Notamacropus eugenii: one gene and its partners. The protein of the gene in region 3 interacts with the protein of the main gene of each other region in a pairwise test. Links are inferred from orthologs where the notes say so. Each region holds a gene or a part of one and is shown on either strand. Other genes may lie near its edges.

The links.
Region 1: the proteins of CYTH1 (region 3) and IPCEF1 interact in binary tests that used the Homo sapiens proteins (3 or more experiments, as listed by UniProt). The link is inferred for Notamacropus eugenii from reciprocal best matches to the Homo sapiens genes CYTH1 and IPCEF1.
Region 2: the proteins of CYTH1 (region 3) and CYTIP interact in binary tests that used the Homo sapiens proteins (3 or more experiments, as listed by UniProt). The link is inferred for Notamacropus eugenii from reciprocal best matches to the Homo sapiens genes CYTH1 and CYTIP.
Region 4: the proteins of CYTH1 (region 3) and ITGB2 interact in a two-hybrid assay, tested with the Homo sapiens proteins (2 studies listed by BioGRID). The link is inferred for Notamacropus eugenii from reciprocal best matches to the Homo sapiens genes CYTH1 and ITGB2.

Annotation. Positions count from the first base shown.
Region 1 is NC_092873.1:247,206,287-247,213,539, reverse strand, and holds the start of IPCEF1 (interactor protein for cytohesin exchange factors 1), read left to right. Parts: upstream 1-4,232; 5' UTR 4,233-4,378; intron 4,379-7,253. UniProt on the Homo sapiens protein: Enhances the promotion of guanine-nucleotide exchange by PSCD2 on ARF6 in a concentration-dependent manner.
Region 2 is NC_092876.1:216,345,791-216,352,740, forward strand, and holds the start of CYTIP (cytohesin-interacting protein), read right to left. Parts: upstream 3,002-6,950; 5' UTR 2,334-3,001; coding exon 2,172-2,333; intron 1-2,171. UniProt on the Homo sapiens protein: By its binding to cytohesin-1 (CYTH1), it modifies activation of ARFs by CYTH1 and its precise function may be to sequester CYTH1 in the cytoplasm.
Region 3 is NC_092873.1:320,236,757-320,243,801, reverse strand, and holds the start of CYTH1 (cytohesin-1), read left to right. Parts: upstream 1-4,037; 5' UTR 4,038-4,234; coding exon 4,235-4,262; intron 4,263-7,045. UniProt on the Homo sapiens protein: Promotes guanine-nucleotide exchange on ARF1, ARF5 and ARF6. Promotes the activation of ARF factors through replacement of GDP with GTP.
Region 4 is NC_092873.1:70,161,124-70,168,704, forward strand, and holds the start of ITGB2 (integrin beta-2), read left to right. Parts: upstream 1-4,569; 5' UTR 4,570-4,748; coding exon 4,749-5,009; intron 5,010-5,778; coding exon of another isoform or gene 5,779-5,881; intron 5,882-6,482; coding exon of another isoform or gene 6,483-6,493; coding exon 6,494-6,571; intron 6,572-7,488; coding exon 7,489-7,581.

The DNA of each region.
Region 1 (7,253 bases), about 73 Mb from region 3:
ATGGAAATGAGAATGAGCAAGAGGAAGAGTTACAACCAGGTGTAACCACAATGGGTCAAAATGTTCTTCCTCTTGGGTTGTGGCTTTCTCTGTAGCTGCTTCCTAGGCTTCTCCTCCTCTAGAGGAGTGTTTTTTGTTTCAACAATAGGCTGAGGTAATGGCAGATGCTTGTCTCAAAACCTGTGACCTCAGAGATAGGAAACTAACCTGGTTCAACTGAGAAAGTTGCCCTTCCTATGAAACACCTGAGGAGCTTTGATCCTGTAGCTTAACTACCAAGAGTTGAGCCACTTGTCCTGGAGCATGTTTCAAGGAGTCCTATATCATCATGGAATGCCAAATCACAGGACTCTGACTTCCTCTTGTGTCCTGAAGAACACTTCTAAGGCTCCATCTTTGTGTGTTCTTTAGTCACACTTATTGTAGGCTCTTTGGTCTCTACAATGGCTTCAGGCACTTCTGGCTTCCAGCTTTGAGAGAGAAGATAGATGATGCCACATGCTGCTTCAGATTGCTTCAGGGAAAGACTCCAGGAAGAGGCTGACATAAGAGGAGCTAGCAGTTTTCATCATGTCCTTGTCCCATCTTGTTATACTATAGACTTCAGGATCTTTTCCCCTTGGGTAAGATCTGGGACACTCTTTTTCAGTTAAGTTGAGTTGCCTCCCTCTCAACAGGAGAGCTCCTCCATTATGTATTGTCTGGTATATATTTTCGTATGTATACTTTCTTTGATATATGTCCTGCTATAGACTTGGATAAATAAGGTTTTTTGTTATTTCTTATGTATGCTTGTTGTGGCACTGGTATTTGGTTGGAAAGGAGTCAAGCACTGGATAAAAAGCTTGGGTCCTCTTTCCCCCCAATTAATGAACAGTAATCAAAAGTTTAGCTTGAACTTGAAAGCCATATTAAGAAGCAGTGCTTCTTAAACTGTGGGTTGAGACTCCATATGGAGGCGAGAAAAAATTGGCAATGGGAAAAGGTTTCTGAATGCACAATGACCAACATTTAATGAATCTGAGGTGTTTCTGGCAGTGCTTGCCTGTGTTGCAGTGGAAACTTCACTACAGCCTTGGTTCTGAACACAAAGCATGCGCACTTTCCACTGCACATATCCTTAGGCCAGGCAACACCAACAAAGGCTTCCAAAATGCATAAAAGTGGTCTCAGATGGAAAAAGTTTAAGAAACCCTGCCCTAGACTAATGATATTTAAGAGATCAGATAAATATAATTCTAGCCTGGTACCTTTTTGAGGAAAGCAGAATGGCCAGCCTTTTGGTCTCAACTGCCTATTTCTCCTCTTGGTAGGAAATAAAGTCTTCCTTGGAGAAGGGTGGGTGGAAGAGAGGCTAGAGATGTCTATTCTACCTTGCTTTGAGCCACACAATGACACCTCCCTGCTACATGTGGGGGCCAGCCCTTGTTACATATACTGTATGATGAAATGATGAAAGGGATGATTTCCAAGGCAACTGAGAAGACTTGCATGAATTTTGGCAGAGGGGAGTGAGCAGAATTTAGAGAACAAGTTACACAGCCACTATAAAGAAAAACAGTGGAAGGACTTAAGAGGTTTGTCAATGCAGTATCGACCAGATATTAGAGTGGATGCATGATGAAGCATGCTACTTACCTCCTGACAAAGAGATAATAGATTCACAGTTCAGAATGAGACCATACATTGTTGAACATGACGAATGTAGGGATTTGTTTTTCTTGGCTATGCATATTTATTATGAGTCTTTTCCTTCTTTTTTTGTTTTTTTTTTTTTTGAGGGGGGATTTGGGAAAGGAGGTTGTAAATAATAGAATTGTTCAAAAAAAAAAAAAGAAAAGAAAAGAGGGTAAATGAAACATTTTAAAAAGGCACAGAAGAGAATAGGAGGCCAGAAGGAAACACATACCAACAAAACAGCTTTGAAAGTTATATATTAATTTTTTTAATGTATAAAGCAAATTGCATGTAATAGGGATTTGTGGCTTTATATACAATTGTTTTTTTCTGTTCTATTTTGTATATGAAAATGCTCATTTTATTTGTTTGCTAAATTCAAAATTTTAAGAATAGAGGAAAGCAGACTAAAATGAAAATGAAATGTGTGTTACTGGTATTTCTTCTCATTATCTCCATCTCTCAGAACCCTGTACTACCTTTCCATAGAGCAGGAATGGAGCTTCTCATTCAGGAGAAACTGAGGGAGGATTGTCCCTCGCAAATGGATGCTCACCCAAATTAAGTGCTCCCAGAAATCATTTTGTTTTGTTCTCAGCCCATATCTGTATATTCACAAATCTTTTTTCACTTCTCCATAAATTTACCTTTCTTGTGAAATAAATGTCCAGAGACCAGAGTTCAGAAAACCAGTGAGGTTCAATCATTATCTAAAGGTGATAGGAATGACCAGACATCAATTTAATTTACATTTTAAATTCCTTTTCTGTCCATTTCTTTTTTTTAAAAGCAGCTTTCCTGTAACATTTAGCTTCTCTTAGGGCTGAGAGGGACTTAAGAGTAGTGAGTGACACGTGAGGGTCTCAAAACCTTTTATCATCTATGGGCCTCAAGAATACAGACACAGCTTAGAGAGCACAATGCCTGTTTGCTTCTGAAATCTCCTGTCAGCTGAAGTAAAAATCAAGTAATTCATTAGTTTCTTCATGTGATGCCAGCTACTGTGAAGGCTTCATTTTATTAGGAAGGACTCTAGTGAACTGGATTATTTTGATTATTTATCTTTGTGCGCGGAACTATCCTTTTCCTCTCACACCCCACTGTTTCCATGCCAGGACACGTAATCCGGCACTGCTGTCCCAGGAGTGGGGAACCTGTGACCTCAAGGTGAGGCCCTTTGACCAAATCCAAACTTCACAGAACAAATCCCCTTATTAAAAGGATTTGTTCCATAAAACTCAGACTCAGTCAAAAGGTCATACCCAAGGACCTAGAAGCCACATGTTGCCTTGAGGCTACAGATTCCCCAATCATGCCTAGTCTAAGCAAACCTCTTAATGAGAAAGAAGTAGGCCTTTTGAGGTTGGTGGACGTTGCAGATGTGGAGAAATGCCCGTACACCATAGTCACATGACCAATGGAGGGAGCAGAGAGCATGAGAATTTGGGGGAAGAAGCTCAGATTTGGGAGACCAGGGCTTATAGTTATGACCATTTTTGTACTGAATGTTATGATAACATGGAGATCTTTTCACATGAAGTGCTGCTATTTGAGGCAATAGATGTGACGGTCCCTGATTTCTTCTTACCGGTCATTTTCCATTTTGCTGGCCATGGTTGCTTTGAAAGCGAAGCAGAGAAGAGAGGGCTGGTTGGACTGGGCTTGAAAAACTCTGACTTGTTCCCAATGCCTTTATATTTCTAATTAAACCATTGGAAGAGCCTTCGCTAACGTCAGCATTTTGCTTGGCAGGTGTAGATTTTAAACAGAATTGAATAAAGTCTAGCTACCTCTACAAGTAGAGCTCTAGTCTTAACTGTTGTTTGGCTTAATTTTTTAAATTTGAAACCATTGAGTAGAAACATGAGATGGTGTTTTGTTTTGTTTTGTTTTTTCCTGAGAAGGTGCAAACCAGTGAACCCAGAGGAGAGTGCTAAGAGGGCGGGCTCCAGTGAAATGAGAGAGCCCTTGTAGGAGTGCTTAAAGGGAAGGATTTGTCCATTTTTAGCTTGCCACTTGTCATTTTTCCTGCCCTTGTGGGTCAAAGAAATGAGCTATAGTTGGAAGATATCTTGGTGAGTGTTGCTAAAGATAGACTGAAAAAGGATTCTTTTTGTTTGTTTGTTTATCAGTCTGCAGTTATGTTATTTGGTAGCCCATTATGAATGCTTGAGAAATGGGGGCAAAGGAGGGAAATTCATAAAATAATCTGAATCTGGGAAGGGTAGCTTAGTAAAATCAGACAATTGGATCTGATGGAAGTAGGGGAGTTAGGCAGAGGAGTTCTCCCTACATGTCTGTAAATAGAGAGCCTTTGCCTCCAAAACAGGAAACCAGAGCAGCCCAATGTTTTGTACATGTGTCCTGGAAATGAATACATTGGGCAATGTTTAGAATAAATGGAATGAGACAGATCGGACTTGCCTTCCCAGAATAGCTATGCCTGGGGTATTGGAATCAGAGAAGGGTTTAGTAACCATCAGAAGGAAGAACGATGAATTTAGGGAAGTACAGTGAAACTTCCTCTTCTTTCAAAAGCTTCATTCTCTGGTCTGCTTGTGAACCCTGTTGTTGTCTGAGTCTTCCCAGTAGTTTCTGCTTAAATGGAATGAAAACCTCAGCTGTTGCCCTCTATGTTATGAGTTTTCTGAATTTGGGGACACCTGAGTCAGCTCTTGGATCTCTCTCCCCTTTACTCCATGTAAGTAACATGACTCCTTGGTCTATGGAAGGGAAGCAATTGCTGGGTGTATATATTAGGGCTGCAAAGCTGAGGGCAGCCCAGGGATAGTCTTGATTTCTGTGGGTGTCTTCTAAAGTGTGAATCTTGAGAAAGTAGCTCTTCAGCTCAGCTCTTTGTAAACCCACTATGACAGTGACAGGATAAAAGGGTGGTATTGAAGGTGTCCTTAAAATGGGGGCTTATCCACAGGCAGTCACTTGAAAGGGCAGTGCTGTGTACTCAGGGTCTCTCTCCTGCTCTGAAATGGATGGAGTATTGATAGCTGTTTGGACCATCCACTGTGGGGCTGATTCAGACCAGCACAATGCTGCGTTTGTGTGTGTTCTGTAAAGTTCATTTGGGGGAAGTCTTGAAGTGACATCCCTGTCTGAGGGAGTGTGTGTTCTTTGTGCCTGATTTGCTGTCCATTCTCCATCCTTCCCTTCCCCCTGCAGTTAAAATTCCTCTCCCTACCCAGATGCCTACAGCTGGTGGGGATTTCACTTCAAGCAAAATCAACATGCTGAAGAACCATGGTAGGGATTGAAAGGAGAGCCAAGCATAGGCAAGGTGCTGCTTATTTGGTAGACTTTCTTCCTTGGGGCTTTGGGAGCCCCTCTTTAGTTTGTCTTTGTGTGGAGGACATTTAATTATTAGAGGAAAGCATTAGTTGTGACCTTTCACATAGCACCTTTGACCTTAATAGTATTTATAATTATTAATTAGCCACTTCCCTTCCTGTTTTGACCCTACCACCTTCCCAATCACCCAAGTTTTCAACTTCAGAGTCATCTTTGATTCTTCCTCTGCTCTCTCCCTTCCTCCCTCACATCCCGTTGTCCAGTCCTCTCAATGCCACCTTTGAAGTGTCTCTGGAATCTGTCTCGTTTTCACTCCCATTCAGGCCCTTGTTATGTCTTTCTGGACCATTCTAAGAGCCTCCTCCTAATTGCCCTCCCTACCATCAGTGACTCCTCTTTCTATTATGTACTTCCCATTCATGCCAAAGTAATCTTCCCGGTGCAGAAGTCTGATCATATCACTGTCCTGCTCGAAACTTTTCAGTGACTTCCCTGTTGGCTATAGACCTGGTTCCAACATCCCTTTAAGGCCCTAATTGCATGATCCTCCCCTTTAGAAGTCCGTTCCAGGCAAGCTGGAATATGAACTATCTTGCCCCATTCTGCATTGACTTCACCTGCTTCTGCCTTTCCTCATTCTTGGAACAACCTCTTCCACATCTCCACATGCTGAAATCATAGGGCTTGATCTCTATGGTACCTTTAAGAGCAATTTTAAGAGCAACCTTTAATACTCTCCCATTTTATAGATGAGGACCCTGAGACCCCAGGAGGCAAGTGGCTTGCCTGAGGTCGCATAAGTAGTAGAGCTGGAATTTCAAATTCAAGCCACTTGACTCCAAATTCAGTGCTCATCTTACTAAACCGCAAGTTCTCTTCCTTCACACAACTATTTCCTCTGGGAAATCTTCTTAAATTTTGTTGGAACATTCTAGACTGCTTCTTTACCTTAACCGGTCTGTCAGCCTTCTTAGATGATAAACTCTGGATGGACCTGCCATGCTGTATTGTTTGTTTGTTTGTTTACATTTGTCTTGTATCCCTCATGTGTAATACAATTATTTTATGAAATGTAGCAGCTGCTTAATAAATGTTCATTGGGTTGAATTGACTTGAATGCCTTGCATCTGCACAGCAATTTTCATGTTAGAAGGTGAATTTCCAGTGGAGAGCTCACTGGGTCATCCCAACAACCCTCTGATAGTATCCAGTATCTTTATTTTATAGGCGTTGAAACTGAGGCTCCGAAAAATTAAGTAACTTTCCCCAAGTCCACAGGGCTAGTTAAATGGGAAAGCCAGGACTTAAACTCAGATGCTGTGATTCCCAATTTAGTTATTGCTATGACACCAGAGAATCACAGGATTTGGGGTCTAGAAGGAATCTTACAGATAAATTCTCTAGATCAGTCCCTTGCTTTTACAGATAAGGAAACTGGAGCTCAGGGAGTGTAAGTGACTCACCAAATGCCACACACATATTCATTACTTGCCCAGCACTTCTCACTTATTAGCACTGTCCTAGGGATGGTATACATAATGGATAAATATTTAAATGGCAGAAAAAGACCTAATGCTTGCCTTCTGATATGCAAATATTGAATAAGATTTGAAAATAAAATTGTTCCTTCCCATTTCAAGTGAGGAAGGAAAGGACTGGAGTTTAGAATTAAGCTTTCTCTCTTTCTCTTTTCTTCTTTCCCAGTCTTTGTATCCTGTTCAATGACAGGAACTAAAGCTTGCCTTCTCTGCAGAAGTTGCGTGTTTCAAGTATTTCAGGTGTCCACTGCATGAAGCAAGCTCCCACTGAGCAGAGTGGAAATAGGAAGTTTTCTGCAGCAGCGTACTGGGGCAATGAGAGATAAGCTATTACTTCATGACTCCATTGCTTGGGTCTGCTTTCTTTTTGACTCCTCCTGGCCTCTGTTTGTAAACTCACTTCTGCTTTTGCATCCATTTTGGAGCCTAGGAGTGTTCCTGTTACACTCATCAGACAACAGCACTCTGAATGGGACCTGAGTTTACTTGGCTTTTTCTCCTTTTGTTGTTGAAGAAAACCACTGGGGTAATGCTGCCATTAGGACTCACAAACAATAAAGGTCTTATTATATCTTTTCTGTACCTCCTAATTGGCCTCCCTACCATCAGTGACTCCTCTTTTAATTATGTACTTCCCATCTATGCCAAAGTAATCTTCCCAGTGCATAAGTCTGATCACATTACTGTCCTGCTCAAAACTTTTCAGTGACTTCCCTGTTGGCCATAGATCTGGCT
Region 2 (6,950 bases), on a different chromosome or scaffold from region 3:
GTAAAATGTGGGAGAGTTCCTAGCCCTAATGTCAAAGTTACAAGAAAAGACAAGGTCTACTTTCCAAGTATAACATGATGCTCTAACCAGTCGCCCAACACTGCCATATTATAAGTATCACTGTAGTACGCTTCTCTGTAATAGAACTACAAGTAGAGTGACTCATCCTAATGTAGAAGTGTCAAGCTGCCTTGGTGTCTTCAACTACATTAAAACGTAATTGGGAAGCATGTAAACAAAAGAAATAAAAACACGGTAGAACCTAATGTTAATGTGTGATTTTATATGTATGTATATATATGTGTGTGTATGTATGTATGTATGTATACATGTATACATAGTGTAATGGCCCATATCTATTTGAGTTTGACACCACTGTCCTAGGGTACCAAAAACTCGAGAGCACTGACATCCTTTCAGCAACACAGAAGCACATGAACTTAATACCTAGTTAGCAAGAATAAGTCATTAAAATATGAACTATCACATGGCATGTTTCCTCTCCAGAAGTCGCCTTTATATAGACCTGAGTTTCAGTCTATAAGGGTCAGAATCACAAGATCTCTCTCCCTCTTCTCCCACCCACCCCAATCCCTACACACAGGTTAGCATACCAGGGTCTCTCCCTACACAAGGCCTTGTATCCCAGGATCTCTGATTAACTCTCTACTGCAAATGAATTTATCTTAAAGGGTTTGAGAATTGAAGTCATGCTGCTCAACCTGGGTGACAAAATTATTAGTTATTAACTCTATATCTAATTCTTCTAAAACCAGCATTAATTAAAACATGGGTTATCATTCTGTTTCAATCTATAGTACCTCTTTTGTCAAATACACATGTTGGGAGTTGATTATAAGAATTTTCATCATGTATCCATTAAAGAAAAACAAACTTTTCCAAATTGAGAAAAAACATCTCTCAAAACCAAAGCAAATGACACCTTCTTAAAGATTCCTGAGAAAACAATGGATCAGACAAAGTAGCCCACCAAGTTTAAATCTATTATCTGCTTTGATCTTCCTTAAAACATTACCAAAAAAAGAACAATAACAACAGAATGTAGGAGAGTACACAATTGCTAATATACAATTAAGTGATGATGATTTGTACTGTGAAATGTTTCAGAATATTTTCTACTTTAAAAAGTTCTATCCTGAATCAGGTACAGAACCGAGCTTGTTTTGGATTTAGGTGGGATTTTACTTTACTAGTTTATTAACTAAATATTTATTGTCTATTAAAAGTAGAATACTCTGCTAAGGCCTGGGTGAGATACAAAACTGAGATAAATCACTGGGCTTCACCTCATGGAGTTTCCAGTCTAGTAGGAGTGTATAATACAGACACAAAAAAAGTATAATACATAATAGGTTCATAAAGCAGGTATAAACAAAGTCCTACATGAGATTAGGGTACTAGGGAAAGGAATAGGGAGGAAGAGAGTTGTCATTAATGGCTGGTAGTAATGGAACCAGCAAAGGAACTATGACTGGTTTGTTTTTTAATCTATTTAACAAATAAGGGTTTGGCTTTTTTTTTTTAACAGTGTGAACGATGCAGAATAAACTGACAAATCTCAAAGCGGTTTGGCTGAATAGTTTCAGAATCATCATCTTACCCCAAACGAAACACCTTACCCAGAATCCAGCATGAAAGCTGAAGAACTGTATGTATGATCTGTAAAAGTTTAGCGAACTCTGCAGAAACCAAACCCTAATATGATTAAGATCTTAAAGTGCTTCTTAGTATGGCTACAGATGGGGTAGAGGGGGAGGAAGACAGGGACAGAAACACGCACACACACACGCACACACACACACACACACACACACACACACACACACCAGTAGTAGGGCAGTCACACAGGCTGTGGGGGAGAGAGCAAGAAAGAGCGACATGATCCAATAACCTTAAGGACCTCAGTTCTTCCTGAGCACTTCTCCAGTGAAGGACAGAAATATCTTTGTCACACCTGGCTTTATGTTTTACTAGCATCTCAGTGTACCCAGTGTATCCATTCGCACCCAGTACCCCTGCCTCTCAGCCACACTCCTTTCCAAGTTCTGCCTGAGCATCTCAGCTCATCCTTTTGGAGGGCAGGTGCTGAGTGAGGAGCCCACTGCCTGATGATGGCTTAAATTCCCCAAAGTACAAAACGGTCATCGTACCTGCTTTCGTCCCCGGGGCAAAGTGGCCACTGTGTCTGCCAGCATTTGAATCCTTTTATTATCCACTTGTGGGCTACCTGTGGGCGTAGAGTACACGCTATAAGCTGGGCCTGTGCTGTAGTCCAAATTCTTGTTCTGCTGGATAGGCCTTGGGAAAGACATTGTGCATAAAGGTCACTCCAGCTCACACATCGCTTAGCCTTGCTGGCCAGGGACAATTAAAAGTAGAACCTTCTTGACAAGCAATCAAAAGTAGCAAAGCGGAAAGAGTCTCATGTGACTTCTGTGGTTGGAGGTGCTTGTTACACAAATCCCTTTTTGCAGATCACTCACATTTCTCGGTGCCTTTTTTTTAAGCCCATGAGAGAGCTGAGAGGTAATTTTTGCAATTAAAGAAAATCAGCTTATTTTTTTCACTCTTGGCAACGGCCAGAACTCTTATGCTTTCATGTGCTGTGACAGTTTGTGTTCAAAATACCATCTGCTTTTTTTTTTCAGTGGGGGGGGCACTTTTCTCAAGTTTAATTTGCTAAATGCTGTCACATTTTTTCTCAACCCATTCCCCAGACCTCTCCCCACACCAAGTACACACACATATACACACACTTCACGTTAGCAAAAGTCAAAATGTGTGGTCATGAAGCTCCAGAGACTTTCCGCGAGAATTGCAGGTACTGGTCACGATGTTCTCCCTCTCTTTCCTGTAATGTACTTCCCTCATGGTACGCTCTAGCCCATCAATGCTCATCAAAGACTCATTATACCTTCCCCTTAGACTGTAACCATTCATCAGTCTTTTTGTTATGTTTCTCTTTTACCTAAACAGAAATATTTACCTTAATACAAGGCAGTGAACTAGAAAGGCCCAATTTGGTAGCAGGGTCAACTCCCATCAGCAGATTTTTCTATTTCCTAGAGTCAGCAGGTGTCCAGGACCCAGGGGCCTTGGCAGCAGACAAATAAGATGGCAAGAGTGTATGATCAATTGGTTTGGGGATAGACAGAATTGGCAGAAGAACCAATCTAGGAAAGTAAGTTTGACTATGAGGTTTTCTTTTTCTTTTAATTCTTGGAGGATGTAGAGTGGAATAACTTGGTTGAGTGGCAGAGGGAAGTAAAGGGGTCTTCAATCAATGACTAATCATAACTTGGTGGGGATATAATTGGAAATTAGCTAAGCATATAAATTGCTTTCCACACCTAAAGGGAGACATAAATGAGAGTTGTTAGTGTTACAGAGACTTCCTGACACGTAGGGATTGAAATACACGGTCTCCAAAGTTCCTTCCAACACTGAGATCCCATGGCTGAATTCTGTGATTCTATGAAATAAAAATCAAACATGGAGGAGGAATCTGGTTTAGTAGAAAAACCATTGGACCAGGAGTCAAGAGAGAACTGTGTTCTAGCACTATTAGTCACTAACTAACTATGCACATTGGGTAAGTGATGTAAACTCCCTGGGTCTCAGTTTTCTCATCTGTAATATGGTCAGGTTTGAGCTGGAAAGTGACTACAGCTCCTTCCAAAACTAAAATTCCACAAGTCTGTCTGTCTGTCTGTCTGTCTGTATGTATGTATGTATAAATATAAAATTATGCACTAGACCAAACATGCACCTCAAAGTCACCTGGAATGCTAGTCATAAAATTCAAATAGCATAACACTTCTTTAAACTAGCACTGAGTCCAAATACACTTAATTCAAGAGCAATTCAGTCTTAACAGAGCTTGCTAAATGAAAATAGTAAAATCTTGAGTTGGCCTTTTCTCAAAAAAAAAAAGTGTGCCAACTCAGCTACAAAAGAACACTTTTACAATCTAGTTCCTTATTCCATGTGTAGGAGGTACCCTTCAGGTGCCCCTATCCCAAGCTTTTAGAAGCCTGCTCAAGTTTCCATAGTTAGCATGGGTAGCAGCATCACCAAGAGTGGCAACTGTATTATACTATGAGTTCCCAAACTGTCACAAATACTTAAATTTCAGATGTGATTACACCATTAACATTTCCAGGCCTTAATGTCCTTAACATTTCCAGTCAGATAAAGAAATACTATTCCATTATACCAAGAAAAATCTAACTGTAGAAACTAAGTTTTGAGTTAAATTGTGCCCAAAATGGCAGCAATCCTGCCTCCATGATGTGGCTACGCTACAAAGGGCTGACTTCAGTTGTCAAAATAGATACTCACCTATATGCAGAACTGCGACAAAGCACTTGTGAACCTTAGGCAAAGTTTAAAAATTGTACCACTGGTCTATGTTACTATGCATCTGTAACACAGTCAGCTGGGGTTATACAGAATAAATAACTGCATAGCCTGGGGAGCAGAATGTTCCTGTATTAAAGACATGCAAGTTTATTTTGTTTTTGTTTGTTACACGTACTTATCAGCCAGGTGGCCCAGTTGATAGAGCACCAGGCCTGGAGTCAGATAGACCTGAGTTCAAATATGGCTTCAGATGCTTACTGGCTGTGTGACCCTGGGTGAGTTACTTAAGTCCATTTGCCTCAGTTTCCTCATCTGTAAAATGGGCTAGAAAATAAAATGGCAAAATAATCCAGTATCTTTGTCAAGATGGCAAAGATTTCCCAAATGGGGTCACAAAGAATTGAACATGAGGGAAATGACTGAACACATACCTATCAGAAGTAATGTTGGAAAATGTCCCTTGATTCACCCTTTTTCCCTTCACTTCCACTTCTCCTCCACACACCCCTCACGATGTTCCCAGAGAGTCTGCCTACTCTGACTCCCCTGCCTACACTACATGGCATTATTTCAAGAATGCCGGGGAAAGAACTTTTGGCCTCCACCAGAACTAGTAGGGCGTCTGAAATTCCACCAATGGGAACTAAAGTCAAGCTAATGCTTATGAAAATGTTAAGACTCCTGGAAGGAGAAACACTTTTAAGTCATGATCTGCTTTTTGAGAATTGCAGCCCAAGAGGAATAAAAACCCCACCAGGAATCTTTGGTAGAGAATACTAAGGTGGATAAGTTCAGGGCATCAGCAACTTACTCAAAAAAGAAGGATGCATCACGTGGGTAGCTAGGAGTGGGAGGCGACCCTGGAGGTTAAAATGGACAAAAGCATGAAAAAGGAGAAGTGGAGGTAGGGTAGACGCTAAAAACAAACTTAACTGACATCACTGTTTGCAAAGGGCTGTCTCTAAGATTACTTAAGGAACCATACAAAAGGAAATGACTTCAAGGAGAATTACTTCTCGTGCAAAGTCTGATACCCAAGATTACCAACTTCCTAGTGGTGTCCTAACGCACTGAACTAACTGGAATATGACACATAGAACAGGGAGGGGTACTGAGGAGGAGATTAGCAAAGAATCCTTAGAATCAACATGTAAAAAAAGTTTAAGACTACACTTAATACAATTCTTTTCTTTTCCTAGGAGAAAAAGTCATGAGAGGAGGGTGAAAAGCCAAGAACATTAACAGTTCATCTATGTTTCAATGCAAACTTCTTGTGGGTTCACTGTATTTGTTTAATTAAGGGTTTGGAGGGTCATCTGCACATGAAAATATTTAATAAGCCTGGTTGCCTGAGGTGAAATTCAAGGTTTGCAAAACTGAAACATACAGTACTTGCAAAATGCAAATATGTTCCATTAAATAGGCAGACTTTTCTTAAAACAGTTAGCTTGGGTAAGGCAAGTATAAACACATACTAATTCACAGAAATTTGATAAATTGGTATAATTACTGTGACCATTAGCTAGATACTGCACTCATTGGTCTTAAGTTATGACATATATATGCATATGTGTGTGTGTGTGTGTGTGTGTATAATAGAAAAGTGGATTCAATTTCATCTTATATACCCAATAAATAAGAATTGGAGACAATAGCAAAATAACTCTCTTCTGTTCTGTTGTTGGTACAAGTCTAAGATAGCGCCCCACTGGATTCTTAAGCATCTTAATTTGCCCAAGTCAAAAAAGTCTGGGTAGTCAATGTTGTTGGAAGGAAAGGAATGGAAATAAACCAACAGAGGGAGACTAAATGGCACATTCTCAGATCTCTTTTTAAATCTGTAGTAAGCAGAAAATCTTTATCTGTCCACTTCATGAACTTCTAGTTGAATGAAATAATTATTAACTGTTTCGCTTATTCTATTTACTTTTGCGCCTACATCAGTTTTTGGAAAGAATTCTCTGTGTGTATGTGTGTGGGTGTGTGAGAGCAAAAGAGGAGAGAGATATCTATAAAAGTACTCATGTGTAGAGTGAGTAGGAGTATTTTTGACTTTGGAGTCTATCACTAAGGGTGTTAACCTCAGAGATGTAATAAGCTAGTGTACTTACCTGAGGATGTCTGTATGTAAAGACTCTTGAAGTACAGTGAAAAGTTTCCTATTGCAAATGACACATTAAGCTATAGAAGTATAGTTATTTTACAACTTAGTGGAGAATAGTAAGTGACCATAGTATTATAGAATCTCAGAAATGGAAAGAATCTCAAGGGTCATCTAGCCCAGAACTCATACCTGAACAGAAATCTCCTCTACAATATCACCCAACAAATGATTATCTAACCTCTGCTTGAAAATCTTCAGGGATAGAAAACACCTTACCTCTCAGAGAAGTCCATTTCACTTTGAAGCAACTCTAATAGTTTAGAAATTATTTCTTGTGTTCAAACTAAATCTGCCTCTAAGTAGCTCCTCCTAACTGCTCCTAGTTTTGTCTTCTGGATTAAGATAAAAGAAAACCTAATTCCTCTTTTATGTGACAGTCCTTCAAATATTTGAAGACAAATGT
Region 3 (7,045 bases):
GTAATTAAATGTTACTTATATGTTAAGAAAAGATGTATATGAAAAAAATGGAAAAGCATGGGGGAAACTTGTATAAGCTGATGCGTGTGTATTCTTTCTTCGTTGCCGAAGAAGACCAAATGCAGAGAGAAGAAAACAGAACCAAGAAAAGGATATGTATATTATGACAATAACAATATATGCTGAATAAACAGAAAAAGAAACAGTGTTGGTCTAAACCAGAGTTGGTCCTGGAAAAGAGTTGATAAGAAGGGACTATAAGTATAGAATATTGCATATGTTGTCAGACGTAGTGGATATGTTAATTAGTTTTTGCTGAACTACTTTTTCCCCCTTTAAAAACACATTTGTTATAAAGGAGGGCTTATTGGGTAGGACAGGGATGCAATATTGAGAAATGATTGTGACTTAAAAACAAAAGTTATCAACAAAAATAACAATTTTTTTTTACAAAGATAAGTTTCTGATTCAGTTTCCTAAATGAAATTCCAGCCAACTTTTGTTTCTTTTATTTAATTCTGGAACCATCTCATTGTCTCTCTACATTTTTTCTTCACAATAAATATAATGAGGGACTAACTCAATGAGTTATATATCCAATTCCATATGATAGTCTGGGCACAAAGCATTTTTCATCTACTTGGATTTTCTTCTGTGGTTTGTTAGGCTAAACTCTTTTGAATGAGTTATGGATCTTATTAGTGAGGCTTTGTAGTGCTCTGTGGCTTTATTTTATCAGTACAGTGTCATCCACAAACAAGAACAGCTGAAGACCTCATCACTTATTGTGAATTTTTTCTTCTATTTGAACATATGGATATCCTCTATGACTCTGGTGAGTATTTTTAGCAAGCATATCTCTTCAGCTTTATTTCTTGCCTGACATTAATAATCAGACATTATTGGACAGAGTTGTCTGTTTTTGCTTCTGTCAAGGAATCTTAGCATGTATATAAGATGAAACTTGTTGGGGGAGAAACTTAAAACTTTGGGAGACCCAGAGGGCAATAGAAAAAAAAATATGTGCATAATTTGATGTCAGCATATTACCAAAATTGACGAGTGCATAAGAAGTGGCATAAAAATCATCCAGGAAATATATGGTCAGAAAGGAGCAGTAGATAAGATATTGAGAACTGGACTGGTATCCTTTGTAATGTTACTAGGAAGGCTTCTACTAGATTCTGTGAGTAAAATCCACCCATATCATCAGAGGAGAATACCTGCATTTAAGAGGATATAGATTCACTGAAATATTAAAGTATAACTCCTAGAACCAGACTTATAGCTGGAAGAGAACTTAGGGCCATTTGCAACCTATCTGTGAAGCATACATTCTCTTGACAAAATTCTCAGTTGTAAATACCTCACCTCAGAGGTCTAGTAGATAGAAAGCCAGCTTGGGAGTCAGGAAGACAGGGGTTCAAAGACCTTACTCTGACCCATGCTGTGTTACCATGGGCAAGTCACTTTACCTCTCAGTGCCTGAGATCACTCTCTAAGACTATGAAATTGTAAACAAGTTGCTGATCTACATTGGTGGAGGAGTTCTCAGATGTACAATATATGTAAATATATTATATATATGTATGCTTCATAAACATTCTATTAGATCAACTTTTATCAAGCATTTAGGATATGCAAAAGATTATGCTGGGGATATGAAGATACCAGTGACACAGATTCTCTTCTCAAGGTACTTAAGATGTTATATGGGGACTAGGGTGATATCAGTAATGGAGATGTAAGAATGTGAAAAGTACAAAGGAATTTTTCAGGCAAAGTGATATGAAAAATTTGGAATCAATTGGATAGAGTTAGGGAAGTCTTCATCAAGGAGAAAGTACATGAATTGTAGCTTGAAGGGAAGGATGTATTTCAGCCTATGGAGATTAACTGGGGGGAGTAAGGGATCAGTAGAAGTCCATTTTGACCACAGGAGGTGGTACAAACAAAATCACCAAGATAAATTAATCAGGAATTTATTAATCAGCTCTTGTGTGCTAATCACTGTGCTAGGCACTAGAAGTACAAAGACAAACAGTCCCTGCCCACAAAGAACTTAACATTTAATTGGGGGAATCAGCATGTATGCATTTAAGGATATGTAAAATACTGTCAAGGTAATTTTTTGAGAGCAGGGGAAAGAGCAGCAGTTGGACTGGATTAGGAAAGGCTTTATATAGGGAGTGGTGTTTGAGCTAAACCATGAAGAAAGCCAGGGATTTCAGGAGGCAGAGGAGAGGAGGTAGTAGTGCCAGCATGCATATAGGAGTTGGAATGTCATGTGTGCAGAACAGCAAGGTCTATTTGGCAGGACCACAGAGCATGTGAAGGGGAACAGTGTTACAATAAGACTGGAAAGGAAGCTGGAATCAGGCCATCAAGGGCTTCAAATGCAAATAAAGGCATCTATATTTGATACCACAGTCGAGTCAGCAAACGTTTATTAAATGCCTCCTATGTGCCAGGCACTAAACCTAGAGGCATTAGAGAGCCACTGGAATTTACAGAATGGAGAGTGACATTGCCAAACTCACATCATATAAATATCACTATTGGCAGCTACATGGAGGATAGATAGGGAAAAGGATAAATCTGAATAAAACAGGAAGACTAATCAGGAAACCAAAGCAATAATTAAGAAAAAAAAAAGATAATGTTGGAAGGAAGAGAATGGGAAATCAATCCTTGTATGGCTGAGGGAGGCAGAATAGATATCTCTAGCCTCTTTCATCCCCACCCTTCTCCATAGGAGACTTTCATTCCTGGTATGAGGGGACGTAGGAAGTTGGGGCCAGAGGTCACTACTCTGCTCTCCTTAGAGAAGATGGAAGAAGTTCAGGTTGCTAAAGGAAAAGACTCTGGGAAGACATGAAAGGAGGAGGTAGTCCCTATTCCCAGCTTGCTACTCTAGAGACTTCAGGGAGTATTCCCTTTGGGTGAGATCCATAACCTTCTCTTAGTTGAACTGACTTACCCCCAATGAAAGTGAGAGAGTTCTGGCCCAGAAATATATCTATGTGCTTCCTTAAATAATGTTCATCTAAGAGATAGGTTCTATCTAACTTTTGATCGCTTTATCATTTCTGGAAGGAGGGGGACCCCAAACTTTGTATCCAAGACTTGACTACTTTTCCACTTAATACTAGTTCCACAATGAATACACGTAACAAATAAACCTATTTATCCAAATCGTGGCAAACAGAAATCAGAGAAGGTCTACATATAAGAATATATACCAGGCAGTACAGAATGAAAGAACTCTCTTATTGAGATCTCCCCCAAGGGGAATACTCCCCTGAATCTCTAGAGTAGTAACTCTAGAGTAGTAACCCACTTCACGGGATTGGACTCTTTCATCTTATTTCTCAAAGATGGAAGTCAGGAGCACCCAAAGGATGAATCCCTGAAGGTGGACTGGTAAAAGTCTTTGATGTCTTGCCAACACTGTCACGCCCCTTGAAAAAGATTGGGTTTTCATCTCCATCAATATGAGAGTCACATTGGACTTGATAGGGGTTGTACAAGAAAAAAGTTGCTGAGTAGGTACATTAGAAAAAGTGGCTTGATGATTAAGGAAGAACTCATCATGTTTGGCATTTTGCTTTAGATTTGTGTTTTGCGTGTTCATACCATCCATTTATTGAGCTTACTATATATGCAAGGTTTTGAACTTTAATTGGCTTGTAAAATCTTACCTATTTGACCTGTGATGTCATGAACTCTGACTAGTCATCCTCTTTTGAACTAAACTATAATCTAATTATGAGAAGACAGGGCTTTTTCCTGTTGTAATCTAAGAATTGGGGCTAAAGGATAAGAGAGCAGGCAATTCTAGTGGTTAAATCTGATTTGCTTGTGTTTGTGAAGAGAGTTGAACTGCTCTAACAATTTGTCACCCTGTTAGACAAACTCTAGGTGCTAAAAGAGTTAACTTTCTTTATAGGAAGGTACTTCAGCTTGACAGGAACTAGGTGGTGGTGATTCAACAGGGAATGACACTCCTTTTCTGGCTGTTTACTGATTGGCTCTGTGTATTTGTAGCTTTCAGTTCAGGAAGCAGCTCTGAGCTGTCTTAGTGGCTAGACAGATTTACAGGTATTTCTGGCCCACAAAATCTTACTTAGTTTGGAAAGCTTTCTCTTTGGTTACATTTTTTTTTTTACCAGAAGAAATCAATTGAGAGGAATAAACTTGACTGAGACCTTCATATTTTATCCAATTGGACAAAATGGTACTTAAAACAGAGGAAGAGGAAGGTGAGTTCAATATCATACTCAAAACTTAACTTCTATTATAGGACGGAAAATTTCTGTATGTATGTTGACTAATAATGTGAAGCTTGAAGACAGAATTACTAGGCCTTTTGCCTTTTTTGGGTGGGGTTGAGAATTAACCAGGCTACGGTTTCTTCTTACTGCAGGGTTTCCACGTGAAAGGAAAAAATATAGTATAGGGTTTGTTTCATTTATCTTCACCTCCTCTTTTAGAAAAAGGGTAAATTAGTTGTCCCTGTTAGCTGTTCCTTTTTCACAAGTGTATTATTACAAATCAAATGATTTTCTTTGAAGTTAAACTCTCAGTGCTCATACTACTTAATTAAGGGGATTAACTTTTTCTCAGAACCTTCAACTCCTTTTTCTAAATTGGCACTTGGTCAGAAATTATAGAGGTTATGAAGCTGGGCTGGATTAGTTTTTTGACCAAGGTCAAGAAAGTATTTATCAATCATAATGTTTTTGACATTAACAAGTTGGGATCCGGATATTCTGTGTTAGGACTAAAAATCACTGATATTTTTATTCATTAAACATGATGAAAAAAGTACCTAGTATTTTGGCCTTCTTTCTTCTTTTTACAAAATTACTTTCAGATTATTTTGAAGCCTGATAGGTAGATGTGATAGGATTACTTTTTCCACCCTCACAGTAAATAGTGAAATTATAAGTAATATAAAGATATTCCTGTAATTTTTGGATTCCAGTAGATTTTCTATGAAAAGTGTGTCTGAGAGACAGTGTGTTTAAAGTTATGTTTTGTTTTTATTAAAATGATGTTCATGGAACTTTGAGTAGGTAGTAGAGTTTTGATATTATAATTTATCTTTAAATTACAATCAAAATTAATTTACACTGGCTTGTGTGAAACAATATGTTTTATTTTGGGAGGAAGACTACATCTAACCTTATAGTCATATAGTGAAGTTTTGCAATTAGAGATGGAGGCTGTAATAAAAATGCCTTTCCTTTTTATGTTGTTCCATATCCAGGATAAGGTAAAGAAAACGTATGTTCTTGACCTGTGAATGGCAAACTCATTTGTTTTTTGGCTCATTCATTTAAAAAAATTTATCAAGAATACACTTTGTGCTAGGAACTGGGGAGGTACAAAACTTTGATTAGACGTTATGCCCATCCTTAAAGTTTATAGTTTAGTAGGGGGAATAAGACAAATTCAGATAACTAATACACAGTATTATATGGGTACATTAAATAGTTGCTGAACAAAATATTATATGAAGGGGAAGACTGTTACTGACAAGGGATCAGGGAAAGCTTCATGGACAAGTGACGTTTGAGTTGGGGTTTAATGAACATATAGGAATTTGAGAAGTAGGTGGAAACAGAAAGACATTTCAAGCAAAGGAAACAATGTGATCAGAGACACAGAGGCGTGATTGGAGGACTGAGTCTGCTTTGACTGAGCTATCAAGTACATGGAGGGGAATAACATGAAATAAGTCTGGAAAAGTAAGGTGACCCTTTTGAGGGTCATGAATGTTAGCCAAGAAGTTTCAATTTAACTTTATAGGCAGTTGAGAGTTTAGATTTTTAAAAATAAATTAAATATTTATTAACCAGGATGTGACATGGCCAGATCTAAGTACTTGGTATATAACAGTAACAGTATGAAACAGAAACAGTGTAGTAACAGTATGAAAAGGGATGCAGGAGGACCTGTGGTGGCTATTGTTAACAGCCCAAGTATATGGGTGTAATGGCTACTTCTGCTGCTGCTATTGCTACTTCTACTATTATTATTGCTACTACTATCATCCCTACAACCTCATGTACTTTGCCTAATTTGATAAAGCCATTTTTCCTTTTTTCTTTTCTTCTTTCTTTTTTTACAAGACACTACATCCAGGGATGGTATTAACATAAGGATAGGTCCTGTGATTTCATTACTGTATTTCATTACTTTTTGTGCAGTTCTGGGGTTGAAGAAGTTACTTACTAAGTTTCTTAATGGATTACTTGATCATTATTTAGGCTGTTGAAAACTTCACAGTTTTGCTGGAGTAGGTATGTGGAAGTTGATTGGTCTGCCTCCCATTCAAGTAGCTATCTCAGTTGAAATTGAAACTCCTCCACTCACTCTTTTCTAGACATTTTACAATCTACATTTAGACATCATCACTAAACTGAAATTGCACTTTCCAAAGACCTCACTGATTTTATACGCCAAATTAATTGCCTTTTCTCAGTCTTCATTCTTCTTGATCTCTCTGTACATTTGACACTATTGACCACCCTCTTCTCCTGACTGCTCCTCTCTGGGTTTTCATGAAATTGCTCTTTTTTTAGTTCTTTTCTTATTTACTTAATCCTTTTTTTCTGTATCCTTAGCTGGATTTATTCCCCAAAATATCGTGCCTAGACAACCTCAGAGGTCTTCTCCAACTATATTATTCTTGAGGTGTAGGAGTTTATTTTAAAGGTAGAGCATGTAAGGACCAGGCAAGTTAAATGACTTGTCCATGGCCACATAGCTCCTAAGTAAATGAAGTGGGGTTTTAATCCTGATTGCAACTGTCTTTAAATACAGTGCTTTTTTCATTGTAGCATGAGATGCTGCCTCTTATTATTCCTGCTTAGGTAGTATAGTGGGAATAGAGAGGAAGAGTTGAATGTGATAGCTGGTATGGAGGCAGAACTGATAACTGGATTTGGGTGATCAGTGTCAAAGATAATCTCACATTTTTGAATATGATGGAGAAGGTGAGAAAGATGGTGTTGCAGGAAATAGTTAAGCTAGAAGG
Region 4 (7,581 bases), about 250 Mb from region 3:
GTCTTAGGCCTAGAGAACAGAAAGGCATAGAGCCCCCAGGGACATCTCTGGAGTTCCCACTGAAAAATCAGTGAAGTTCCTTCACTGATACAGATTGCCACTCACTTCACAGCTGGGTTGTTGTTGTGTTTGTCCATTTTAGAAGAGAACCGTGACATCAGGGAAATGATGGCATGACTGGCTGTCATTTGAGGGAGGAAGGGTTGTGCAAGGTCACCAGCCTCACTGTTCCCTCCAGAGCCCCACTGGATCCAGTGACCAGATATTTGCAATGGAAGACCCTGACCCTGTTAGGCTAAGGCCTAATCAAGTGATCAGAGTAAGGCAACACCCATTCAGTGAACAGTCCTCTTTAAGTAGTTACTCAAGGGATGGCCCCTTTAATCCTGGGAGGGCAAGTCCCTCCTGCTTCCTGGGTAAAAGACAGTTACTGTTTAGTCTTTATACACTCCCACAGCTGGGAAGATCAAATCCAGCTTCAGGAGCTTCCTACTGGGGGCTCAGGACAAGCCTTTCCTCCCCTGCTCTCTACCTCAGTCTCCTCAGTGTAAATTAGGGACAGTAACAGCACCCTTCTCACAGAGTTGTTGTAGAGCACATACATGGTGTCTGGTATACAGTAGGTGCTTAATAAATGCCCATTCCCTCTCCCTCTGAGCCTGTTCTCCAAGATAACTGGGGTCTGCCCACCGCCCCCATGCTGGCCTCACCCTCTCAGTCAGGTGCTGCTTCCTCCAAGGCTCTCAGGGGAGGCTGGGCTGGGGAGAAGGATGGCCCAGCACAGCGAATGGGCGGACACCCACCCTTGTGACTTGGTGTGCAACCACAGTCCTGAGAAAACAAGCAGCGGACAGATCCGTGGGGCTGGCTTCAAAGCCCAGGGCCATGGGGAGAGGACAGGCCACCACAGAAACTTTGCTGCTGAGTCCCAAGCAAGGCTAGATGAGGCCAGCATAGGGCCAGTGAGCAAGGTGCTAAACCACATTGCTCAGGAGTGTTGGCACTGTCCTTCCGCACACTCCCTCATATCGGCCTTGAGTGGTCTGGCTCCCCAGGAGTATCCCCAAGTAATACACCAAGGGTGGTATGTATGCCTCCTAGAGTCTGGAGTAGAGGGTTGGCATTCACAGACTAGAAATGCATCCAAACCAGCATTTGTGGCAAGGTGTCCTGCTATGAGATCCTGGGTCTAGACCCAGAATGGCTCAGAGGCTTTGGATCCAACAATTCTAGACCCAGGGAGATGAGAAGGCTGGAGGTCATACCCTGCAGGAGGTGGCCAGAGGAGCTGGAAAGGCTGGGGGCAGGCTAGCTGTCCTCAGACCCCTGAAGGCTGTCACATATTTGCTCTGCCCAGCCTTCCTCTTGGAGCACAGGGGAGCAAGGGCAGATTTCCAGCCAAAGGAAGTGGCTTCAGTAGAGGCAGCAAAGCGTGGGACAGCTCCCCTGAGGAGGAGGTGGTCAGGTCCTTGACCCAGGAGATCTAGGGGGAGGCTGGCCAAGTACCTGCTGGGCCTGTCGCCTTGTGGGGGCAGCGGTGTGGGGTAGGGAGGAGCTCTGAGTACTTTTTCGGTTCTGTGTCTCTGGTTCAATGATTCTGGCAGTCAGTCTGGGAAGGCATTGGTAGAAAGGATGGGGGGCTGGGGTCTAAATAAAGAACATCCTTGAAGGCAGAGGGAATGTGACCATGTCTGCCACTGTCCAGAGGCTAGCCTTATTATAGCCAAGCACTAGGAGAGAGTGGGTCTCCCTCAGACTAGCCACCACTCCCTCTTCCCAAGTAGCCCCAAACCAGCCCCTCTGAGCAGCACCAGACTCTTTCCTCTCCACATCCACTCACAAAGTCTCTCCCTTACACATACCCCAAGGACCTCAGGGTGTCTTCAGTCACTACAGTACCCCAGAGCACCATGGGGAGTGGGCCTGCTCATATCTGGGGGTACCAGCCCCCTGTGGCCCTCCACGTCTGACACCAAGTCCCTGAGATAACCCACAAGCAAATGCAAATAGAAAAGAGACCGAGAAGGGCATGGTCAGCCAGTTGGGAGGAGACCCAGAATAGGTCAGTGGCCTAGTGTCCAGGAGCAGAGGGATCGAGGATGTCCCCTGCTGCCGAGAGGGTAAGAGTAGAAGCGGGGGGCCTCAGCAGAGGAGAGGAGGCTTGTGCTAGGGGAAAATAAAAAGGAGGGCCCAGGAGAGGGTGGCCAGCAGGACTGTGTCCTGTGCCCTGGCAGCCTGGTTGGAGCCCAGGGCTTGCTGTGGGGGCCAGCCCTTGGTAGAAGAGGAAGAGCAAACTTAGGAGGCATGAGGAGGAGGGAGAGATGGCCTGAGGGGAGGTCAGAGGGAGGAAGGGATGTCAGGAGTTCGGTTTAAGGAAGTGGAAACCTTGTGGTACCATCAGGAGTATATTGGTGGATATGAAACCTTTCTGTCCAACCTCTTCAAGACAGCTGGCTAGTCATGGGGTCTCTGGGCCAAGGGAGATGGACACTTTAGTCATTTCTCTTATAGCATCATTCCAAATTGCTTTCTAGAATGGTTGACCCAGCACCTACTCCACCAACAATGCACCAGTGTGCTGGTCTTTGAGCTCACTTTTGTCATTTTCAGCATCTTGTTGGGTGTGAGAATTCTTGGGGGGTTCTTTTCTTAGTGATTTGGACCCTTCTTTCATAGGGCTGCGTGTGCTCTGCCTTTTTCTCTTAAGGCCTGGGGTGGGGGTGGGGGGTTGTTGATGACTTTTGAAAAGAGAGACTCATCATGAAATTGGAATAACTTCATCCTGAACAGATGGGTGGGAGAGGGCTGGATTCAAATCCTGCCTCTGACGGGAACTAGCTGAGCTGGTCCTCTGTCTGGTTAAATAGCCTATCTGGTTAAATGGTGCTGTGGTGTCCCAGCCATGGGATTTTGTGAGGCCCCAGGGAGACAGAGAGCTAGAGCCACTAAGTCCCACCCATTTTACAGATGAGGAAACTGAGGCACAGTACCTTACCCAAGGTCACACTGGCAATGAGGCGTGAACTGGGTCTTCCTCACCCCAAGTTCAGTACTCTGTGCGTGATGCCATCTTTGCTGGGAAGTCTGGTCATGTACGTTTGTTTGCATGTGTGCACATGTCCTGTCAGATCACAGGTCCAGCTGAGGCTTGTCACCTGTCCCCACTTAGCACTGGGGCACCTTACTAAGCATCCTTCCTGGCATCCTTGAGCCCAGAGCTCCCCTGCCTGCTCCCTGGACACAGATGACAGTAGGATTCCTGTTGGGCCACCATGAGGTTGGGGTAGGCAGTACCTCCTTTCTTCCAGGATGGGAGGTGGGAAGTAGAGCCGCAAACCAACAACAGGCATGATGCTTTTGTCTGGTCTTGGCCCATGCTGAGCCCCCTTTGGCCTTGCCCTGAAGGTCTGGGGTACAGGCAGGCAGAGGAGATGACTGCCTTCTGGCAAGATGGTTGGGAAAGATACTCTTTTGCCCCCACTGCCTGTCCTGGGCCCGTTGGCCTTGGGTGACAGCCACCCTGAGACACATCCTTTTCAGGCAGAAAGCTTTTCCTGTTTTCTGGAGAGCTCACATCAAATGTAGGTGCCATCAATCAATCAATCAATCAATCCATCAATCACAAAGCATTTTTAGGTACTTGCTGCTTGCTTGGGGGCTAGCTGACTGGGGGGCGGGAGGGAGGTGGCAACTGCTGGGGCAGTAACCAGGGAATGGCATGGAGGGAGAAGGCCCTGACTCATGAGCCTGGAACATGCCCTGATCCTCCCAGATGGGCTCTCTCTGGACTGCCTGAGTTTTCTTCTCCCCTTGGATCAGACGGTACAGTCCTTCCAGCTTCTGGGCCTATGATTGTGGAGAGAAAGTGGTCCAGGAGCCCCTGAATCCTGGTTCTTAGCATGCCTGATCAGCACACTGCTCCAGGCAAGGCCTCAATCTTGGGCTGCCTCTCCACTCCTGAGCAGAGGGGAAACCCTTGTAAGTGTCTGGTTGGTTGGAGGTCACTTTTGTTCCTCTCAGTAACTCCCAGGGCTAAACGCAGTCAGCCCAGCCCTAGCACCAGTTCTGACAGAAAGAGAGACCAGAGTGGGTGTGTGGATCACTTGGTAGAAAACCATCACCTACACCAGAAAACCACTCAGAGCAGATGTCACAGCTCCTCCTCCAAGGCCTGGGGCCAGGAAGCAGCCACAGGGCAGGCTGGGCTAAGCTGGGATTCTAGCAACTGAACCAAGGAGACCCATGGTCAGCTTACCTTCCTGTACCTCATGCCCAGCTCAGAGACAGGCCTGCATGCCAAGGGTGACCCAGAAGAAGACTTTGGGGGCAAAGCCAAGAATCATCTCCAAGCAAGATGGTGAACTCCAGGAACTTCCCTTCCCCCTCCCCTGCTGACTTTGGCTCTTCCCTTACCCCATTCTCATTCTCCTGGGTGCGCTTAGTTCCCAGTCAGACAGTCACTGAGGTGTTGGCAGATCAGTCATGGTGAAGAGATGAGGGATAAGGTCTAAAGAAGGGGGCCCACTTTGGGTATAATGGTTAAAGAAAGCAGAGCTTTCCTTGCTCTGGCCCTAGCCTCTGCTGGGCTCCAGGAGTGTTCCCCTGGGGTAGCCCTGCCCATACTTGTGCCAAACAGGTAACCTCCATAAACCACAGTGGCTTCTGGGTAATAGCGGGGGCAACTTTGGGGACAACACTCCTGTGCAACCTTCCTTGCTGGGGGCTTCCCCCATCCAGGCAGACTCAGCATGGCCTGGAGCACCTATTCTGAGACCTTCCCTCCATCCCATCCTGGCCTCTTCCTACTCAGAAGCCTCTTGGCTTCTTTGGGAATCAGTTGGAAACAGAGGAAACCACTGAGGTTGCATCTCCATGGAATCCTGCATCAGCCCTCTTTCCTATGGGTAGGACTTCCTTTCCTCTTGACAGGGACTTTCCTGGTCCCTCAGCTGCCACAGAAGCTCCTTCTCTTCTCCCTCAGCTTGGGCTTGGCTACCCAGCTGAATCAAGTATTACCAGTGCCATTAATTCAAAGCTAATTTTGCTTGGGATTGCTCAGGACATTTGAAATTTATTCAGCATAAAATACGTGATAGGACTAATTAATATGATATTATATAAAAACACTAGAGTTTTTGAAATTGAGGGAAAGGTCAGTCTGTGTCAGAAACATTTGTGGATGAGATTATTTTAAGGGGAGTGCACTTTGATTATCTTCAGGTACAAAAAGCAGACATAGAAGTCAAGTCTTAGGAATGTCCACCCATTTGGGGGGTGAGCTGGTATTGGCAGTGAGGCCATCTGGGATTTTTTTTCCTGATCATTCTGTCTTCTACTTTCTTTGCCATCTTGAAACTCAGTCCATCGGAGGCTTCTTGCCACTCCAGCTTGGACTTCCTCTCTGGGGCATGCTTCTCCCAGGCCAGTTCTCATAGTCACCTCTCCTTTTCTGCTGTCATTTCTGGTTCCTTACATCCCACCTCAAGATGTGAGGGGCTGCTGCGAGTCCCCAAGGTGTGGATCTCCTTTCCTCACAAAGGAGAATAAGTCATTATAGAAACTGGCAGGTCTCCCCCATTTTCTGTCCAGTTTGGGGCATCTTAATGTCATCTTCCAGTGCTCATGACCCTGAATCACATGCCCTCGTTATGGTGGCATTACAGTGTTTCTTCCAAAATATAATTGTGTGAGTAAATACGAACTCCCCTTCTCTTCTTGATGGGGCCTGAACCTGCTGTTTCCCTGCCAACGGCTCCCACGCTTTTGCCTCCCTGCCAGGCTCGCCCAAAGTTGCCAGGGGCTAGGCCCCCAGTCTCAGAGGTGATGTCTTGCTACAACTTCCTGGTCATCGCCCTGGTGGGGCTGCTGATTCCACCATCAGGTGAGTTCCACTGGCCTTTCTTTTATCTCCTGCTTTGAGCTGTGAAGAATCCTCACAGAGAGGGACTGACAGTCACAGAACCTGAGCAGATTAGTGCAGCAGAGGAGAGCTTAGTGATCGTCTAGTTTATTCCCTCATATTACAGGCTGGGAAACTGAGGACCAGAGGGGTTCCATTCAACTCAACACACATTGATTTGATTTCATTGTTTTTAATTAGCAAAAACCTATTTTTTCTTCTTCTCCCCTAAAACAAAAAGAAAAACCAAAACCTTTGTAACCACCAATACAAAGGAATCATCAAGTCAGATTCCCAGAATGACCCAGAAATGGGAGTGTTGGAGAAAGCTCCCCTCTATGCTCCCAGGGATAGGGTCCTTATGGGGGGTGAGGGGGAAGGGGAAGGCCCAGGCCTAGGCTCTTGGGCTCCAGGTTTAGGTTGGTTGGGTTAGGGTGATTACATCGATGGCCCCAGGAGCAGCTTCAACCTTTCTGACCCAGACCCACCTGGGGGATGGGAGAAGAGAGGATGAGGGCAGGTGGACAGGTTGGGGCTAGATGGAAAAGTCTCTTCAGTTTGAATGACTTGTTCTCTGTTCCAGTTCTTTCCCAGGAATGTCCCAAGTACAAAGTCAACACCTGCCAGGAGTGCATCAAGTTAGCTCCAGGCTGTGCCTGGTGTAAGAAGCTGGTAAGACATCATTCTGGCAGCACTAAAAATAGCAAGAAGGGGAGGGAGCCCAAGACTTGTCCTGCCTTCAGCTTTCTCTGCTGACCCCACTGTTTCTGGGCTTGTGAGGGCCTACACAGGTCCGAGGCCCTCTGCCTTCTGGGTCAGGTCCTCACGGGCTGTGGCCAGAGACATCCTCAGCCTAAGGACCGGAAACTTTTGCTGTGATCAGTGAGAAAGATTTCAAATAATCCCACTTAGAGGTGATAAGCCTTAAAAAGCTGCCCTCTGAAGTGGAGTCATGGAACATGCCAGGCAGGCCTGCTATGGATCAAGGAGGCTGAGCCAGGAAGTCTTGAGACTGCCTGGCAGAACCCCAGCTAGTGGTGGGTTTGACCAGCAAAGGAGACAGAAGTGAAAGGGAAAGTTCAGTTTCCAAGTTGGAGATAAATATGAAGGAAAACCACCCCAGTGTTTAGACCAGTGGACATCCTCCTTTCTCCTGTTCATGAGGAATTTTGGTAAGGAAACAAAGAAAAGCCTGGACACAGAGAGCCAGTCTTAGACACAGAGGGGTCAGTCTTGGACACAGAGGGCTAGCCTTGGATGCAGTGGACCAGTCTGGGACACAGAGGGCCAGCCTTGGACAAAACAGGCCAACCTCAAATGTTTCAGCGTGGCCCCTGTCCCAGGCTTTAGGATGGCTCTGTGCCCTCATCTTACCCCAGACCCAGGCCCCTGAGTTCCAAGTTTTGTTTGGTTGGTTGGTTTTGGGGGGGGGGCGTGGTTGGGCCAGCTAATAATGACCCCACTACCTTGTACCAGTCACTGGGGTCCCAGGTCACATCCAGGACAGAGTTCTTCCTTTCAGCTGGGCTCAGCTGCTGGTATCCCTCTCTTTTTGTCCCTCTCATCTTTTCCTTGGTTCCTTTCTCCAGAATTTTGCTGAAAGAGGCGAGCCTGATTCAATTCGCTGTGACACCAAACAGCAGCTCCTACAGAAGGACTGCCAGGAGAGTGACATCGTGGAT